4 linked regions of the Arabidopsis thaliana genome follow. The protein of the gene in region 4 interacts with the protein of the main gene of each other region in a pairwise test. Each region holds a gene or a part of one and is shown on either strand. Other genes may lie near its edges. The genes, in order: AT4G00870, MPPBETA, AIB and JAZ5.

What was found.
Region 1: the proteins of JAZ5 (region 4) and AT4G00870 interact in a two-hybrid assay, tested with the Arabidopsis thaliana proteins (one study listed by BioGRID).
Region 2: the proteins of JAZ5 (region 4) and MPPBETA interact in binary tests that used the Arabidopsis thaliana proteins (3 or more experiments, as listed by UniProt).
Region 3: the proteins of JAZ5 (region 4) and AIB interact in a two-hybrid assay, tested with the Arabidopsis thaliana proteins (one study listed by BioGRID).

The regions. Positions count from the first base shown.
Region 1 is NC_003075.7:361,421-365,489, reverse strand, and holds AT4G00870 (basic helix-loop-helix (bHLH) DNA-binding superfamily protein), read left to right. Parts: upstream 1-1,780; 5' UTR 1,781-1,850; coding exon 1,851-2,111; intron 2,112-2,249; coding exon 2,250-3,260; 3' UTR 3,261-3,557; downstream 3,558-4,069. Other genes in the region: AT4G00872 (Plant invertase/pectin methylesterase inhibitor superfamily protein), read left to right, coding at 754-974, 1,049-1,343.
Region 2 is NC_003074.8:363,784-369,456, reverse strand, and holds MPPBETA (Insulinase (Peptidase family M16) protein), read right to left. Parts: upstream 3,909-5,673; 5' UTR 3,834-3,908; coding exon 3,162-3,833; intron 2,670-3,161; coding exon 2,505-2,669; intron 2,415-2,504; coding exon 2,277-2,414; intron 2,198-2,276; coding exon 2,046-2,197; intron 1,954-2,045; coding exon 1,845-1,953; intron 1,719-1,844; coding exon 1,620-1,718; intron 1,455-1,619; coding exon 1,389-1,454; intron 1,238-1,388; coding exon 1,126-1,237; intron 1,018-1,125; coding exon 923-1,017; 3' UTR 618-922; downstream 1-617. Other genes in the region: AT3G02100 (UDP-Glycosyltransferase superfamily protein), read left to right, coding at 1-71, 170-617; AT3G02080 (Ribosomal protein S19e family protein), read left to right, coding at 4,296-4,379, 4,783-4,873, 4,959-5,142, 5,247-5,319. UniProt on the Arabidopsis thaliana protein: Catalytic subunit of the essential mitochondrial processing protease (MPP), which cleaves the mitochondrial sequence off newly imported precursors proteins. Preferentially, cleaves after an arginine at position P2.
Region 3 is NC_003071.7:19,090,418-19,094,963, reverse strand, and holds AIB (ABA-inducible BHLH-type transcription factor), read left to right. Parts: upstream 1-1,590; 5' UTR 1,591-2,076; coding exon 2,077-3,777; 3' UTR 3,778-4,011; downstream 4,012-4,546. Other genes in the region: SDH4 (succinate dehydrogenase subunit 4), read left to right, coding at 4,496-4,546. UniProt on the Arabidopsis thaliana protein: Transcription activator. Positively regulates abscisic acid (ABA) response. Confers drought tolerance and sensitivity to ABA.
Region 4 is NC_003070.9:5,954,605-5,959,427, reverse strand, and holds JAZ5 (jasmonate-zim-domain protein 5), read left to right. Parts: upstream 1-1,916; 5' UTR 1,917-2,357; coding exon 2,358-2,535; exon of another isoform or gene 2,536-2,749; coding exon of another isoform or gene 2,750-2,840; coding exon 2,841-2,931; intron 2,932-3,051; coding exon 3,052-3,375; coding exon of another isoform or gene 3,376-3,442; exon of another isoform or gene 3,443-3,542; coding exon 3,543-3,774; 3' UTR 3,775-4,273; downstream 4,274-4,823. Other genes in the region: UBP1B (oligouridylate binding protein 1B), read left to right, coding at 4,603-4,707. UniProt on the Arabidopsis thaliana protein: Repressor of jasmonate responses.

The sequences.
Region 1 (4,069 bases), on a different chromosome or scaffold from region 4:
ATGGACGAGAGGCTTTTGACCATTTGTATGGCCAGAATAACAACACTCACTACCAAATACAATAACGTGATTTTGTTTAATAGATTAGATGCGGTAGGAATATATTATTCTTCGTGAACTAAAACCATGTTTTATAACGACAAAAAAAAACCCATGTTTTATAAGTTTATGGGCCAAAATTGGGCTTTTGTATTATAAACATGTTTACGGAAGTATTCAGCTAAGTATATATAAAAAAAAACAATTACACTAATTTATTTAAATTTTATTATTACCTACTTACAATTAGTAAAATTTAAAATTAACAAAAAAAAAACTTTTACTTACTTTTAGTTATTGTTTTAAGAAAAAACATCATTAATTACCCTACTTTTTTTTTTAATACTAGGAGGTTCTAAGCCAAAACATCTTAATTATTATATTGTTTATATGTCTAATAATATCCATAAATGTATTAAAAAAACTTAAAACATAAACTAAAGGGTAATAGATCATAATATTATTGAATGGAGTAAGAAAATGTATAAATTATAATTCAAAAAGAGAACTATAATCTGCTTTTCTACCCAAATGAAGTAAAATAAGACATCAATTTGCATTTCAATGGTCAGTTTTAAAGGTAAAATTAAAGACGTTAAACACGTGTAATGTAAAAGAGATCACTCATGAGTCATGACCAACCATATTCTTAGTTTATATAAGTAATTCACACCCCTTAAAAAGAAATATAGTCTATAATCAATCATACTTAGCATGAAAACGATGATCAAGTTTCTGCTGTTAATACTGGTGATCTCTCCTATGTCGATATGCGCCGAGAAGGACATGATGATAAATGAATGCCACAATGCAGACGTCCCAGCCATATGCATGCAATGTCTTGAATCCGACCCAAACTCCATTCACGCCGACCATATAGGCATAGCTGGCATCGTCATAAACTGTCTTGAATCCCACCTCCATATCATCACCAAGCAAGTTTTCACTTACAAATTATAACCAATATACAGAAATATCCTCTAATATATCAATTTTTTCATTTGTGTAGTAACATAACGAATTTATCGTCAAAGAAAGATAAAGGTGAAGTGAAAACAGCTCTGGAGATTTGCAAAAAAGACTTGTCGACGAATGCATCTACAATACTGTCGGAAGCCAAAACAAGTTTGAAAACCGGTGATTATGATAAAACCAACAAATCGATAAAGCTTGCGCTTGGCTTTCCTCTGAGATGTATGTTCAATCTCAAACGTGTCAAGTTCACGTCTCCCCAACTATTTAGTCAAATCAATATCTATGCTCAACTCTCTGACGCTGCTATGAGGATCATTGATCGCTTCTAATAAGTAATAACTCCTTATTGTTTTCTATATAACTCAACTTCGATCAATGCTTACCCCAATTTGAATAAATCATTTCCTTTATGAAATTTATAAAGTCACATATATCCATTTGTTGTAGCTCTCATGTTTTTTTTTTCTTTTCAAATTTGTCAAAATAAGTTTTCGTTTGAACCATCATTCAATATAAATCTAAATGATATATTGTCTTTTTTTTTTTTTTTTTTTTGGCAAAGAATGATATATTGTCTATTTCATCAAAGTTGGACCACTATACGATAAATTGTTGTTCTTATAACGTTAAAGTAGGAAAACAGTTCAGTTTTCACGTGACTAACTTACTACTATTGGAATATTTATCATAAACTTTAATTCACGAAAATCATTAATGAAAATTTGATATTACTACTATAATATCGTCTTCTCTATTAATTTAGAATCTTATTCATCCTTTTCCACTTGTCTTCTCTAACCCTCTAAATTCTCTTTGGTCGGGATCACTGGAAAGAAATGTATAATCTCACTTTCTCTCCATCATTGTCCTCTTCTTTGCTCTCTTTTACACAACAAACTCCTGCAGCCATAGTGTCCTCTTCTCCTCCGGATTTAGTACTTCAACAAAAACTCCGGTTTGTCGTGGAAACCTCACCGGACCGATGGGCTTATGTCATTTTTTGGCAAAAGATGTTTGATGATCAATCGGACCGGTCTTACTTGGTTTGGGTTGATGGTCATTTCTGTGGAAACAAGAACAACAATTCCCAAGAAAATGTTCATTTTTCTTTGCCTCTTATGTTATCTAATCAAAATATCCAAAATTTATTTAAATCAACTTCTTAAAAAAGTTCTATTAAGAAAATAATATAATTTTCCTTACCCTTGATTTTTTGTTTTTGTTTCTTTCTTAAGTATACAACAAACAGCATCGAGTGTGAGCTGATGATGGACGGTGGAGATGATCTGGAGTTGTTCTATGCCGCATCGTTTTACGGTGAAGATAGATCGCCGAGAAAGGAAGTATCCGATGAATCTTTGGTTTGGTTAACCGGTCCCGACGAGCTCCGGTTTAGCAACTACGAGAGGGCTAAAGAAGCCGGTTTTCACGGGGTACACACATTGGTCTCCATACCCATCAACAATGGCATTATCGAACTTGGTTCGTCTGAATCAATTATACAAAACCGGAACTTTATAAACCGAGTCAAGTCCATATTCGGGTCGGGTAAAACAACAAAACACACTAACCAAACCGGTTCTTACCCTAAACCGGCGGTATCAGATCATTCGAAAAGCGGAAATCAGCAATTCGGGTCGGAAAGAAAACGGAGGAGGAAACTTGAGACGACAAGGGTAGCTGCGGCGACGAAAGAGAAACATCATCCGGCGGTTTTGTCCCACGTGGAAGCGGAGAAGCAACGGAGAGAGAAGCTAAACCACCGGTTTTACGCTCTACGTGCCATCGTACCAAAAGTGTCACGAATGGACAAAGCGTCACTTTTATCCGACGCAGTTTCGTACATAGAAAGTCTTAAATCCAAAATCGATGATCTCGAAACTGAGATCAAGAAAATGAAGATGACGGAGACAGATAAATTAGACAACAGCAGCAGCAATACGTCTCCGTCTTCCGTTGAGTACCAAGTTAACCAGAAACCTTCAAAATCAAACAGAGGCTCTGACTTGGAAGTGCAAGTGAAGATCGTCGGAGAAGAAGCCATAATTAGGGTTCAGACAGAGAATGTGAACCATCCTACGTCGGCATTGATGAGTGCGTTAATGGAAATGGATTGTCGTGTACAACACGCGAACGCGTCGCGCTTGAGTCAGGTTATGGTTCAAGATGTTGTTGTTTTGGTTCCAGAAGGATTAAGATCGGAAGATAGGCTTAGGACCACACTTGTCCGAACCCTAAGCCTATAACAATTTCTTTGTTTTGTGACGTCAACATAGGATGTGATAATAATTTTTGTTTTTTTTTGCGACCTTTTGTTTTATTTGATAAGTACTAGAAAAATCAAATTCCTTCTAGCGATTAATGTTGTTTTATCAAAAGTTTGATCTCGTTGATACGTAGTTTATGTGTTACTTTTTTACTTTATTTCTCGTACGTACGTACTAGCTCGCTAAAAGCGCAAAGTGTTTGGTATATTGTCTTACTAAAACAATATAGAGACTGTATATTTTAAAAGAAACAACTCATTAATTGATCATTTGGAAATATTAGTTTGAAAACCATAGAGAAGACGGAGGAATTATAGACACACACACGCTTGTCCTATAATATTTAGGACCACTCTTCAGTGATAGCTTGCTAACAAATCAAGTCAATTACGTAATGAACTACCAATGCTTTATATTAATTATTCTTGGACGTACTGTTATATTAAGACACTGATTGGTTAATTTGGGGAAAAAATATTAGTACAATGCACAGAAAAATAAAGGGTACAATAATGTTGAGAAAAAAAAGTGGTACAATAATGCAAAGAGAAGAAAAGGGTACAATAATGCAATTGAATTGTATCTTTCTTATTTTGTTTGCTAATTACTAATTGCAAAAAATGTTTTTGTGCTTGAAAAAGTAATCATTCTGTATCTAACATTCACATATAAAACAGAACTAAACAATTTTGCATTTACTTAATGAGACAAAAATGTTTTGTTTTATTTGATGATCATGGTTTTATGTTTTTCTAAAAGAAATTAAAATATGTTATGCAACAAACTAT
Region 2 (5,673 bases), on a different chromosome or scaffold from region 4:
TTTGGGAGTTTTGGGGTCATGGGCAACCCTCAGTTAGAAGAGCTAGCAATTGGTCTAGAGCTTACCAAGAGGTAATGATTTGGACATAACCGGGTTTGTGTGTTCCGGTTTACCCTACTTACTCTATGCGTGTCTATTATGTAATAAGTTATGTTGATCCATTCACCAGGCCAGTTTTGTGGGTCACTGGTGATCAACAACCAATCAAACTTGGGTCGGATCGAGTCAAAGTGGTGAGATGGGCTCCACAACGGGAGGTCCTTTCTTCTGGAGCCATTGGGTGTTTTGTGAGCCATTGTGGATGGAATTCAACTCTGGAAGGAGCCCAAAATGGCATACCATTTCTATGCATCCCTTATTTTGCAGACCAATTTATCAACAAAGCATATATATGCGATGTGTGGAAGATTGGATTAGGACTTGAAAGAGACGCACGAGGAGTGGTTCCGAGGTTAGAGGTTAAGAAGAAGATCGATGAGATCATGAGAGACGGTGGAGAGTATGAAGAACGAGCTATGAAGGTTAAAGAGATTGTGATGAAAAGTGTTGCAAAAGATGGAATATCTTGTGAGAATCTTAATAAATTTGTCAACTGGATCAAATCACAAGTGAATTGATAGAGTTTCACAAGAAGAAATGAAATGTATCCAATTCAAGTTTTCAACCAAACATCAAAGAACTTATTAGTATGTGTATGGGAAAATTATGAAGAGAACAAAAAAAACACACACAGAGGATCTCTAGCATTTTTCCAGTAGAGGACAAAGAGTAAATGGTACACTTATTTTACCAGCGATGATGGTAAATTATGAAGATACAGTAAGAAAAACTCAAAAATAATGAATCCATCATCACCTCGTTCTGCTCTCTCCGCCTACGGAATCTCCCCGTGGGCGAACCTTGCGATTCAGTGACCTTTATTTCAGAGCCTTAGTACCGGTTCCAGTAGGTTCTGCGTCTGAATTTGTTGTAGTCTGGCAAATCTTGGATTGGACCAATAGCTGAGATTGCAATGTCCTGCACATAATCCCAAAAATCACCTTAATCACTCTTGACGTTTGTACTCTTGTTTAGCAGTCTAATCCTTGGAGGATAGAGAGAGCAAGAGGGAGAGAGAAATAGAACTTACTTTGTCATAGATATATTTGTTGGCAACACGTTTTACCGTGCTGGCATCAACAGCATCGATCCTAGCAAAGAGTTCAGCGGTTGGGATTCTACGCCCATAGGTCAGCAGCTGCATTTAGAACAAAAATCCAGGCGTTTTATTAGAATGATTTTGAAGATAAACACCAACTATAAGGAAAGTCAAGGTTTGTTATCTTTGACCAATGCATTTATAAACTTATAAGTTCTAAATTAAGATGCTTAAATGATTCATCGCATACCTGACGACCAATATCTTCAGCAATTGGGCTGGTTCCATCCATGTGAAGTAACAATGATGATTTCAGCTGCAGAGAAATTTAAAATCAGTTGGCATTTAAAATCTATCTACAAATAAGTAAGGAGTTCGAAGAAACAGGAGGAAAAGAAAAAAAAAACTTTAAACAGATCACATTTGTAACTAGCTTAAAGCTGAATCTTGGGAAAGAGAGAAAGAACAGTTGGGCGTTTACCTGATTTCGTGCACGTGTCACATCAGCGTCTGAAACTCGGTAGGCCAGCTTGGTTACCTCATACATAATGGCATATGATAAATCATCCAAGCAATCGGCCTGAAAAAAGTACCTTACAAGATGTTAAAAGAGATATAATACGAGGCATTCATGAGATGAAACTGCTAATATTGACAAATACAAGAAAGAGATGAAACTAAGATAGCTATGGAGTTCTGGGTTGACCTTGGCAACTGCATAAACGCCGAACAGTCCAGTATCCTTGTAGTTAGTGTTGAATGCCATTATGCTTTCTGCTATTTCATTAATGGCAACCCTCTGGGTCAGGTCAGAACTGCACATAGAACCATAATGTTCATCAACACATTGCGAAATAGCTTTTCATTAAATCCATCATTAGAAATATTAGCCAGAGAGTAAACTCACCCCACGTGTTTTCCACCACCAACATTTTTGTTCCACGAACCCAACATAGTTTGCATAACCATAAGAGCAACGGAATCTGGATCAGTCCAAGATGCTCCCTCAAAGGCAACAGCAAATTGTGCAAGGGGTAGGTCGTCATCAATCATTCGGACCTGAGAAGAATTTCACGGACTAAAGAATTTAGAAAGATGGAACATTGCATATAACAAAATCATATGGTTGTGTCCTTACCTCAGAACCAGTAAAACTAGCAGGTTCATTGGCAACCAGTTGAGAAGTAGTTGTTGGATCAGACGACAACTTGGTAAATAGCTTCTTCACTTGCTCAACAACTTCCTCATGCTTAACAGCTCCTGCAGCAGCAATCACCTGAAAATGTTTTGGATGAACCAAGATAAGAATCCTAAAAAATTCAATAAGTGATTGTAGGAAATGATAAGAAGTAACCAAAATCTATACCATCCTGGAAGCAGTGTAGTGAGTCTTAATGTAGTTCTGTAGATCCTCTCTGGTGATCGATTTGACGTTCTGAGCAGGTCCCAAAATAGTTCTTCCAAGGGGTGTGTATTGGAATGCAGTGGCATGTAAATGGTCAAGAACCACTTCATCGGTTTGTCCCTCCACCTACGACCAAACCAATTATCAAAAAACTAAAGCTTAATGTGTATTCTATCTTTAACTGATTAAAGAAACAAATAACTCTAACCAACACGTAGAGCAGAGTACCAAGCGCTCTAGTATCTCCCTTCATGCACATTTCCCAACAACAATACGACCAACATATGACTAAGCCAATAAAACCAAAACATGCGAGAGATAATCCAAAAACAGAACAAAGTTTTCATTTTTAGAGCAATGGTTTATATAAACACAATAACATCTCTCTATAGAACATGTGCTTATGCCAATACAACCTTAAAAAAAGGGAAGATAACTTAAGAACATACTAAAGTTTTCATTTTTAGGCAGGCACACGGGAAACTGAAACTAAGGGTATTGATCTAAAAAAACACAAACTACGGTCCATAGTACCACCTCACTAAAAAAAAACGAAAGATAAATCGAGGACAGAACAAAAAGTTTAGTTTTTTAAGTACAGAGATAACAAATACATACCTCTTGCATTTCCCTGAGGATGACATCTCGTTCGCGGTTAATTCTCTGTTCCTCGAACTTAGAATTCTGTAGGATATCAGCCAAGACATCCAAAGCCTGGTTCACATTGGAATCCAAAACCTTAGCATAATAAGTGGTCTGTTCCCTCGATGTATACGCGTTCAGGTGACCACCAATATCTTCGATCTCTTCCTCCAACGCTCTCACTGTACGCCTATCCGTGCCTTTGAATATCATATGCTCCAAAAAATGAGCCGTTCCGTTGGTCTCATCGGACTCAAACCGAGATCCAGCGTCGATCCAGACTCCAACGGTGGCGGTCTTAGCCGAGAGATTTGACTCAGTAGCGACTCGTAGACCATTGGGCAAGGTAGTGACACGAGTCTCCGGAGCTGACAAGATGTGATTGTGGGAAGCGAGGATCGGATGTGGAGATGCGTATTTAAGGAACCTCTTATCAGGATTCTCGAGCTTCTTGATCTTATTTTTTATAATCTCAGCCGCGTGGTCGTATGGCATAAGATGCGGCGGCGGTGGAGATAGAGCCGTCGGAGATGCGGAAGCCGGCACCGAATCGATAGCTGAAAACGAAGAGGAAGATCGTGTGGCTTGAGTGAGGAATAAACGCCTCTGAGATCGGCGAGCTAGGGACAGTAGATTCTTCATCGCCATGGCTGATGATGGCTTCTCTTCGCTCTCTCAATCTCTCTAGGGTTTGATTAAAAAGCCAAAAATGGCAGAGACGACTTGAGATGCGAACTAATAGCCAGTGGTTAAGCGATTATAAAACGACGTCATTTAATGTTACTAATTAAGAACGGTGTCGTTTAGGACATAATACTAGTCAACTGATATAATAAGGCCGTAGTAGGCGCATTATCGTATCAAAGAACATTATTCATACTGGTTAGATAGTAAGGCCGTATGAAGAATTAGGCCCATTAGTGTGGGCTGAGAACGGGTTGGATTTTTTGACCCGGATATGGGGAGAAAACCCTAATCGAAATATCGTGGCCGTATATATAAGTTTTGTTATTGGAGAATAAAAACCCTAGTCTTTGCGGAGAGAGATTCAGCTGCGTTGGGCAAAATCCCAGACGAAGATCAGTGATTAGTCTTTTGATAACTTGAGCCATGGCAACTGGTAAAACTGTGAAAGACGTCTCGCCTCATGACTTCGTCAAGGCTTATGCTTCTCATCTCAAGCGATCTGGCAAGGTTAGTGGATAAAGTCTCTTCTTTTTTGTTTGAGTAGAAATGTTCCAAGCTTTATTTGTATGTACTCGAATAAAGATGGATTAAGCTCAAATTGCAATGATTTCCATTAGTTCATAGATATTTCTGTTGATTGTTGGCATTTCTCTATAATACTTTGAATTGTGTAATGTCTGTTGAATGTATTGAAATTTTGTATATGTTGCTAATATTTATTGAATCACAAGTGTTACTCTTAGTATTTGTTAATAGACAGCTTAAGATTCAAATGCTTGGGATTAATATTGTGATTTGCTTTGTTACGTCTGTTGAATTAATTTACACTAGCAATTACAATAGCTTGAATGTCAAGCTCCACTTTTTACAATTGTTTTGGTTTTCACGAGACCATAATTGTTTGTTTCAGATCGAGCTTCCCACATGGACAGACATTGTGAAGACCGGAAAGTTGAAGGAGCTTGCACCATATGATCCTGATTGGTACTACATCAGAGCTGGTTAGTTCTCTTTCATCCTAGTTTGTCTCTTATTATCTCTATGCGTTTATAAAGTTTTCAATTAGCAAAATGACTTCTTGTGCAGCATCTATGGCAAGGAAGGTTTACCTGAGGGGAGGACTTGGTGTTGGTGCTTTCCGTAGAATCTATGGTGGAAGCAAGAGGAACGGTAGTCGCCCACCTCACTTTTGCAAAAGCAGTGGTGGTATTGCCCGTCACATCCTCCAACAGCTGGAGACAATGAACATTGTTGAGCTCGACACCAAAGGGTAACATTACTACTACTACTACTACTACTACTACTACGTTAGAGGTGTTTCTCTTTAAAAATGTTTTTATGCTAATACTAGTATCACTTTTGTTCTTCTTTCAGAGGAAGAAGGATCACTTCCAGTGGCCAAAGGGATTTGGACCAGGTTGCTGGCCGTATTGCAGTTGAACCTTGAAGATCTTAATGTTCTTTTTTGTTCTTCTTCTACTTTTGAGGCCATTGTGCTTTTAGTGTTTATCTTTACTTTTAAGAATTGTTACCATTTCATTCTCAAGACTTGCGCTCATAATGTTCAAAAATTTATCTTTTTGGCGATGGCTTTGGACATTGAAACTTATGTCTTCAACCGTATTTTTGTGTTCGTCCGATTTAAGGATAATAGGATATGGTTTCTTCATCCCTAAATTGCTAATTTCATCCTTCTTTAGTGCCACTAATCTCACTTTTATGCTTCACTTTTAACCGAAATTTCTTTGAGAGAAGAGAAGCAAAGATTAGATATCTTCATCACATTATATTCTTTGTTGTA
Region 3 (4,546 bases), on a different chromosome or scaffold from region 4:
TTTTATTCTCGTTGCATAATCTCACTAATGTATATATAACACTCGTTTGAATTTTGTTAAAACTATTTTGTTTTATTTTATATAAAATTACCGAAATTCAATCTACAAATTCAAATTTAAATTAGGTTCTCTACATATCTTAAAAAGATAAATAAGTGAAATTCATAATGATAAAGCCAATTTTGTTTTGTAACTATTATTAGCTTCTTTTTTCTTTTTTTTGAAGCAATGTATCTAATCTATTCTCTTCTAACGAAAGAGTATTAATTATTATAGACAAAAAAAAATAGTATTAAACAAGCCTACGCAAAACACGTTCAGTATTAGGTTATAGTTTTTAGTACTAATTAAAATATGAGATATGAGTTTTTTTGTTCTATTAGAACTTAAGAAGATAAAGAATTTATAAGTTGGTGCGACTCCGAATTACTCAAAAGACACCAATCATCGCGTTATCATCCTAATCTACAAAACAAGAGGTCAAATTTTGCATGTCACGTCACAATATTGTACATTATCATCACGTTTTTTTACAAAGCTTTAGTATATCAACGTATACATTTCAATGTACGAGTTTTCATTGTACTATCTATCCCTAAGTTTGAATTAGGTTTATCGAATCTCTTTCTTTATTTATATGCAAATTTTAATGATGTCATTTTAAATTATTATAAGAAAATATCCCCATACAAAACATGGTGAGGCTTATCTCATGCGATAATACTTTAAAATAGGTTATGAATATAATCATGTAATTATAAAAAAAGTTTTTAATTAATGGGGAGAAAACAATTAGAAAACTACAAACACATGATGATAGAAAAGTAGGTTAAAAGTCCATCACATGGTGCTCTCTCACAGAACGAGACCCTTTTTGTTGAACGTTACTGTTGGGCATGAGATTCACGCAAATCCTATGCGACAAATAATTTTCTTTCCATAAAAATCTAAATAAAGAAAGAACGTACCATTTTTTATATCGAAGTTAAGGACTATATATATACTATTGATAAGAATAATATACTCAGACTATACTATTAATTAAATGGACCCACGTTAATAACGATGTCTGAAATAACCAAAACCCCACCAGACAATTCAGACAATATTTCTTTGTTTCTTTATGCATGTGAGTTATTTTTATTGGTAGAGAAAAAAATAAAAACAAATAATTAATTTAGTACTATTTAGTACATAATAAATTTTAAAATATTTCGACCATGTGATCTATACTTCTTAAGTACATTACTATAATTTGAATCTCTCACGTAGGTACATACACACGTGTGTACACAAAACACTATTTTCTCTAAAATTTACCAAGTGCAAATATCGTTGTTTCACTAAAATCACCATCAAGTATGTATTACTTTTACGAAATTAATCGGATTTGGAGACAAATTCAAAGACTAGCCAGATTTAGGGGTGAGATAATCCATTTGCAAAATAGATTTGAAAAGAGATTTTAGATTTTCTATCTTTATTCGGAGAGAAACAATCAAAGTAAGTGAACTTAAAATCAGGAAACAGAGTTAATAATCAGAGTAATTATTAACCATGGTTAAGTTGAATAACCAAAGTAATTAACGTGCATAAGTAACCATGGTTGGGTTTTTAAAAAGAGCTTTCATACAAACTTCAATTACCCCAGCAAGTCTTGTCTCCTTCTCTCTCTCTCTCCCTCTCTAACTGTATCTTCTTCTTCTTCTTCAACCTTCAGACTTTTCTAGTTGCAACTCTCATTCAATTGTTCAATTTCTCTGTAAAAATCAAAGCTTTTTGGAATCTTTCTTCGGCGAGATATTTCTTCACCGGCGCAAGCTTCTCTTGAGCGTGATTCATCACTGGGTTTGCATTTTTTCCTGGTGGGTATTCTTCAAATTGTTCAAAGCTCCGACCTTTTCTTCCTTAGAATCTGATTACTGGAATCTTGAAGCTGGAGAGACTCGAGTTTATATGGTTTCAAGCATCGTTGAGTCAATCATTGAGTTGTGTAGAAGAAAGGTTTGGTTTTCTTCTCCGTTTAAGTGGTTTTGGGTTTGGTAGGATTTGGTGTAATCTGGGAGATAAAGAAAGATGAATATGAGTGATTTAGGTTGGGATGATGAAGATAAATCGGTGGTTAGTGCTGTTTTAGGGCATTTAGCTTCTGATTTTCTTCGAGCAAACTCTAATTCGAATCAGAATCTCTTTCTTGTTATGGGAACTGATGATACTCTGAATAAGAAGCTCTCTAGTCTCGTTGATTGGCCAAACTCGGAGAATTTCAGCTGGAACTACGCTATTTTCTGGCAACAAACCATGTCTAGATCCGGACAACAAGTCTTAGGTTGGGGAGATGGGTGTTGTCGAGAGCCTAATGAGGAAGAGGAATCAAAAGTTGTTAGGTCTTATAATTTTAACAACATGGGGGCAGAGGAAGAGACATGGCAAGATATGAGGAAGAGAGTGTTGCAGAAGCTTCATAGGTTGTTTGGTGGATCTGATGAAGACAATTATGCTTTGAGCTTAGAGAAAGTTACTGCTACTGAGATTTTCTTCTTAGCTTCCATGTATTTCTTCTTCAATCACGGTGAAGGCGGTCCTGGGAGGTGTTATTCTTCAGGGAAACATGTGTGGCTCTCTGATGCAGTTAACTCTGAGTCTGACTATTGTTTCAGGTCTTTTATGGCGAAATCTGCGGGAATCAGAACGATCGTTATGGTTCCTACTGATGCTGGTGTTCTTGAGCTTGGTTCTGTTTGGTCTTTGCCTGAAAACATTGGCTTGGTTAAGTCTGTTCAAGCTTTGTTCATGAGGAGAGTTACGCAACCAGTAATGGTGACTTCAAACACTAACATGACTGGAGGGATTCACAAGCTTTTCGGGCAGGATTTGAGTGGAGCTCACGCGTATCCTAAGAAGCTCGAAGTGAGAAGAAACTTGGATGAGAGATTCACTCCTCAAAGTTGGGAAGGCTATAATAACAATAAAGGTCCAACATTTGGTTACACACCTCAGAGGGATGATGTGAAAGTGCTAGAGAATGTGAATATGGTTGTAGATAATAACAATTACAAGACGCAGATTGAGTTTGCGGGATCATCAGTTGCTGCTTCTTCGAATCCATCTACAAACACTCAGCAAGAAAAATCAGAATCTTGTACAGAGAAAAGACCAGTGAGCTTGTTAGCAGGAGCAGGAATAGTTTCTGTTGTTGATGAGAAGAGACCGAGAAAGAGAGGGAGAAAGCCTGCAAACGGAAGAGAAGAGCCATTGAACCATGTGGAAGCTGAGAGGCAGAGACGCGAGAAGCTTAACCAAAGATTCTACGCTTTACGATCAGTTGTTCCAAACATTTCTAAAATGGACAAGGCTTCTCTACTTGGAGACGCAATTTCTTACATCAAAGAGCTTCAAGAGAAAGTCAAGATAATGGAAGATGAAAGAGTAGGAACAGATAAGAGCTTATCAGAATCAAACACAATAACAGTAGAAGAAAGTCCAGAAGTTGACATTCAAGCTATGAATGAAGAGGTTGTTGTAAGAGTAATCTCGCCTTTGGATTCACATCCAGCTTCAAGAATCATACAAGCAATGAGAAACTCAAATGTTAGTCTAATGGAGGCTAAGTTATCATTAGCTGAAGACACAATGTTTCACACTTTTGTGATAAAGTCTAACAACGGGTCGGATCCATTGACGAAAGAGAAGCTTATAGCAGCGTTTTACCCCGAGACCAGCTCGACGCAACCGCCATTGCCTTCTTCTAGTTCACAGGTCTCTGGTGATATATAAGTTTCACATGATGGTGAAGCTTTTGTCTATTCTTGTTTCAGTATAGATAACTTTCAGGTTCAACTAGAAATAGATAAAATCCTTTTTTCTTTTCTCTTTCTTATAGTGAAAGGAATCCGGTTTAAGTATATTCATTAACTTTATTTAGACCATTGATTCACATATTTGTATCTTGGGAAAATATTTCCTATACTTTAGAAAATCAAATAAAGTATGAAAGATATTTGACTTCTCTTTCTTTGTTATGGATGCTTTATTCAGTTACAATTTGGGATCCATTCTTTTTTTTTTTCAAATAAAGCAATAGTTATAACAAGTTAATATTATCCAATCAATGTTATTCAGGTAAATATTTGATTAATTATCTTGTAGAATGTTCATGTACATTTGAATTTTGAAGTGACCAAATCTTATATATTGGTCATGAATATGATATATTGACATTTCAAGAGACTGAGCTAAAAATTACTTAAAAATGAGAATCAATTATTTTTTTTCCATTGGTCCATTATTTTATGCAATGCAGCACATAATAATCTATTTTGGTTTTGGTTTGGGCTTCTGGTAGTTCTGAAAAGCCCAGTATAAAGCCCAACTCCATTAATGCATCTTCACCTCTACGACGAGAATTGTGCTTCCGATTCATTTCACATAGGGTTTGTTTCTCCGATCAGATCCAATTTCAATCCTTCTCCGTCAGATTATCTCCTCGGCCACGATGTCTCTCCGCCGCACTATCCTCGATCTCCACCGTCAAACCCAGAGAGCC
Region 4 (4,823 bases):
AGAGGAGATAGAGATTAATGGTTGTCCATGGGCGGTCACTTTTTCGCAGGCCATATGGTGGGGGTGGAAATGGCGTTACGGTAACATCTTTGGCGAGAACAAGAAGTGTCGGGATCGGGTTCGTTTTATTAAGGATCGTGCGTTGGATGTTTGGAAGGCGCATGTGCACAAAATGGGAGTGACGACGCGGACAGCTAGGGAGGAGAGATTGATTGCGTGGTCTCCGCCAAGGGTGGGTTGGTTTAAGCTCAATACTGATGGTGCTTCGCGTGGTAACCCGAGACTAGCTACAGCAGGTGGAGTAGTTCGAGACGGGGATGGAAATTGGTGTTATGGGTTTTCGTTGAATATTGGAATTTGTTCGGCTCCGCTTGCGGAACTATGGGGAGCATATTACGGTTTAAATATCGCTTGGGAGCGCGGTGTCACACAGTTGGAGATGGAGATTGATTCGGAGATGGTAGTGGGTTTTCTTCGGACAGGGATTGATGATTCGCATCCGCTGTCCTTCCTGGTGCGGTTGTGCCATGGCTTACTTTCAAAGGACTGGTCAGTCCGGATTTCGCATGTGTATAGAGAAGCTAATCGTCTCGCGGATGGGTTAGCTAACTATGCTTTTTTTTTACCGTTAGGTTTTCATTTGTTTAATTCTACTCCGGATATTGTTATGTCGATTGTTCACGATGATGTAGCGGGGTCTGCGTACCCCCGGAACGTTCAAGTGTAATTTTTTTAGTTTTTTCAGTTTTAATAAAAATGGGGGTTCGCCCCCCTCTTCTACAAAAAAAAATATCACTTTCAAAAGGACCCATTCGCTACCCAATTTTTCTAAACCCCAGAACGTTTTTTTTTTTTCCAAAACACAACAGCCACTTGGTCTTTGCAACAATGCAAGTAGTGTAGTGGCGTAGCTAGGGGTAACGAGTTACCAAACCGGTTTGACAATCTGGTTCGATCAATTGGCCGATCACTCGGTTTGCTCTAATCTTGCTTCATTTAGTCCCATCAACAACACTTATTAAACTAAGTCACATCTAAACTTTTTATATCTTTGGTATCATTTTCCCCGAACACGTTTTTTTGAACGAGTCGTAGTTTTGAAGCAACCAACGAACGTATTGATTATTATGGGCATCCGTGAAAGGGGCAGTTCGGTCAATTGATCCATCAATTTTATTTTTGACCAAACTGATTAGGTGATCTTAAGATTTTTCCTTTTTTCTTTCTATAGGAAAGTGGGAAAAACGCGATTCACACGATACTGTTGCTAGTGCGTCGTACAGATTGCGATACGTGTCACAATCTTGACGGTCTGTTCTATTTAAACCACGTGTTTTAATCAAAAAACTTCTGTCGGATCGTATCGGAGACTTTGAATTTTTATGGCACATGAAACTTCGTAGGGGTTTGATGGTAGGATCCCACATTGGTCCACTTACTATTCAATTCGCACCGCCGTTAAGTTTGTTAACTAACGTGAGGAACGTCGCGGTGATGTAAAAAAAGGCCATGAAAGTTGTTTCTATTACGATGATGCCATCACTGGAGTTGGTAATGTGCTCTTGTGGAAGGGCAAATTTTGTAAATACGATCAAATTTCGAGTCTTTTACGAATTTGTGACATACGCCGTTTAATAACGTTTGCCGTCGGTTCTGAAATCTTTATTCTTTTTCTCTTTTATCGTTACGCGTAAGGAAAACGTGCGGTAAATTCTAACCGAAAATATATATAAAAAAGTAGTCCAATTTTGAAATCTGGCCGTTGATGGTAGACAACTAAACTGTGCCAAACAAGAAACAAGAGGTGAACATATTTTTATGATAAGACAGGGCAATAAATTTGTTGTACCAACTCATAAAACAATAGATAAATTACTTGCACAATGATGGATTATTAACATTAATTTTCTTACTATTAATCATGGATGAAAATTCCTTTCTTCACACTAGATATAGTTCTTTAACTAGTTAAAAATGCATGCGATGGAATATTACTAAATATGATATAATCTCATGGCTTTATGTAAGATTTGTTTTTTGGTTTTTTTGGTTGTTGTTAATAAATTTATTATTGAGAAGTTTAATTCTATTTTGGTCACAATATATTGAAATATTTTTAAGAAACTAAAAAGTTCCTATTTATTTTTGTTTTCATTAATTTATGAGAGGCTATTAAAGTCACAGAAACTTATTGGGTGAATGAGTTTATAAACACATGAGCTATTGAGCTAGTAGCCTCTTGTACTCTTCCATTTTACGCGCAATCCACGCACCAACAAAAAGAAAAGAAAAGAAGAGATAAAGAATATCTTTAAAAAGTAAGTGTGGAGAATTCTTTCTTCTCAATAAACAACAACATGTCGTCGAGCAATGAAAATGCTAAGGCACAAGCGCCGGAGAAATCTGACTTTACCCGGAGATGTAGTTTGCTCAGCCGTTACTTGAAGGAGAAGGGTAGTTTCGGAAACATTGATCTTGGCTTATACCGAAAACCCGATTCCAGTCTCGCGTTGCCCGGAAAATTCGATCCACCAGGTACTTTTATTATCTCTTTCTTCTTTCATGGCCGCCACTTGGTAATAGTACTTTAAAAACTCAGTTCTGTTACTACTTGCTTTTGCCAGATTTACTACTTTTGTATTGTTTCTTCATTTGTAAGTCAGTTCCTTACTTCAGAAATAATTTCTCCTTGTAATTATGAAGACAAGTAACAAAAATAACGAATAAGTTGATATAGAAATTGATTGAGATGTGGTTAATAAAATTCCAAAGATATAAGATGCTATATCATTTTTCTAAAGTTATTATAGTTCACGAAAGTTTTTATTCTCTTTATGCAGGGAAACAAAATGCGATGCATAAGGCAGGGCATTCCAAAGGCGAACCCTCTACCTCATCAGGAGGCAAAGTCAAAGATGTTGCTGACCTCAGGTCTCTCCTTTTGTTCCTTGGGAATACTTGTTGTTTTTGGTTATTGGAGATTAGAGAAAAGGATAATCGGTTAATCCGGTTAAAATTGGTTTTGTTCTGAAATCTGTTTTTGGTTTGCAGTGAATCACAGCCAGGAAGTTCGCAGCTGACCATATTCTTCGGAGGGAAAGTTTTAGTATATAATGAGTTCCCCGTAGACAAAGCTAAAGAGATTATGGAAGTAGCAAAACAAGCCAAGCCTGTGACTGAGATTAACATTCAGACACCAATCAATGACGAAAACAACAACAACAAGAGCAGCATGGTTCTTCCTGATCTCAATGAGCCTACTGATAATAATCACCTAACAAAGGAACAACAACAGCAACAAGAACAAAATCAGATCGTGGAACGTATAGCACGTAGAGCTTCCCTCCATCGATTCTTTGCTAAACGGAAAGACAGGTATTTAACCTTATCATACTTTTTGAAACTTGTTTTAATGTTCCAAATTTCCAATCACTCTAGTTAGTTCAAAACTCAAAAGTTTAAGGATCCTCCCTCTGATATAAGTTCTCCTAAATTATCCTCAACAAGCCTCGTAATTTACGTTATTAATTTTTCTGTTGCAGAGCTGTGGCTAGGGCTCCGTACCAAGTTAACCAAAACGCAGGTCATCATCGTTATCCTCCCAAGCCAGAGATTGTAACCGGTCAACCACTAGAGGCAGGACAGTCGTCACAAAGACCGCCGGATAACGCCATTGGTCAAACCATGGCCCATATCAAATCAGACGGTGATAAAGATGATATTATGAAGATTGAAGAAGGCCAAAGTTCGAAAGATCTCGATCTAAGGCTATAGTAATATTTGCTAAATTTCTTGTAGGAACTGAGTTTTTAGATTAACGTTTCGATTTTTCTGACTTATCTAAGTGATTTTATTTTGCTTTGTACTACAGTATGTAATCTTATTCTAACTTGAATATTCATTCATAAACACAATAGACGATAGTAAAGTTATATTATAATTAGTTAACTACGTACAACACTTGGGAGTTAAATTACATAACGTTAAGCGAGAAATAGCAAATTAGACAAGAGGAAGAATATTTAGGAGTTGTGAATTGATCTGACTGCAATAACATGAAGAGGAATCTGACTGCAATCGTAATGCGGGTAAAGATGGTTGAAAGTGATCAGAGCTCCTTTCTAATTTATTTAGGGTGTAATTTATGAAAATGATTATTATTGGAGTGTATATCAAGTTTTCACTAAACTCAGGGGTGTTTATTGTAATTAGTTGTCAGGTTCAAGTTCATTGAAGGCGTGTCTGATTTGGACAGTGATTGGGCCTGAGCCATAAGTTTAACGTGGGACGAGTTCATTGGCTGTTGCTTTTTAAATTTTCTTACAGCCTGTGACTTTAGCTAATCGATGTGTAAAAATAATAAATCCAATAAAATTCGTAAGAGCCACTCGATTGCTTCCTTCGCTTTCTATCAAGAGACTTCCTTTTTTTTTTCCTGTTCTTCATTTTTTTTTTGTTATTAATATTTTGTCATTTTTCTTACATTTTTCTCGAACACCGAAAACACTTTCGAACCCTAAAAGACAGAACACTGTGTCAATTTTCATTACCTGGGAACGAAAAGCAAAATCAAAGACAATAATTTTTTCCCCGAGAGAGAAAATGCAGAGGTTGAAGCAGCAGCAGCAGCAGCAACAAGTTATGATGCAGCAAGCTCTTATGCAGCAACAGTCTCTCTACCATCCTGGTCTCCTTGCCCCGCCACAGGTTTGCTCTATTCTTCTTCCATTTCCATGCTCGATTTGGGTTTCTAGGCTCTTTTTCCCAAGCTCGATTTCACTGGTTTTTCTCTCTTTTTTGTTGTATAAGGTCCAAGATTAGGA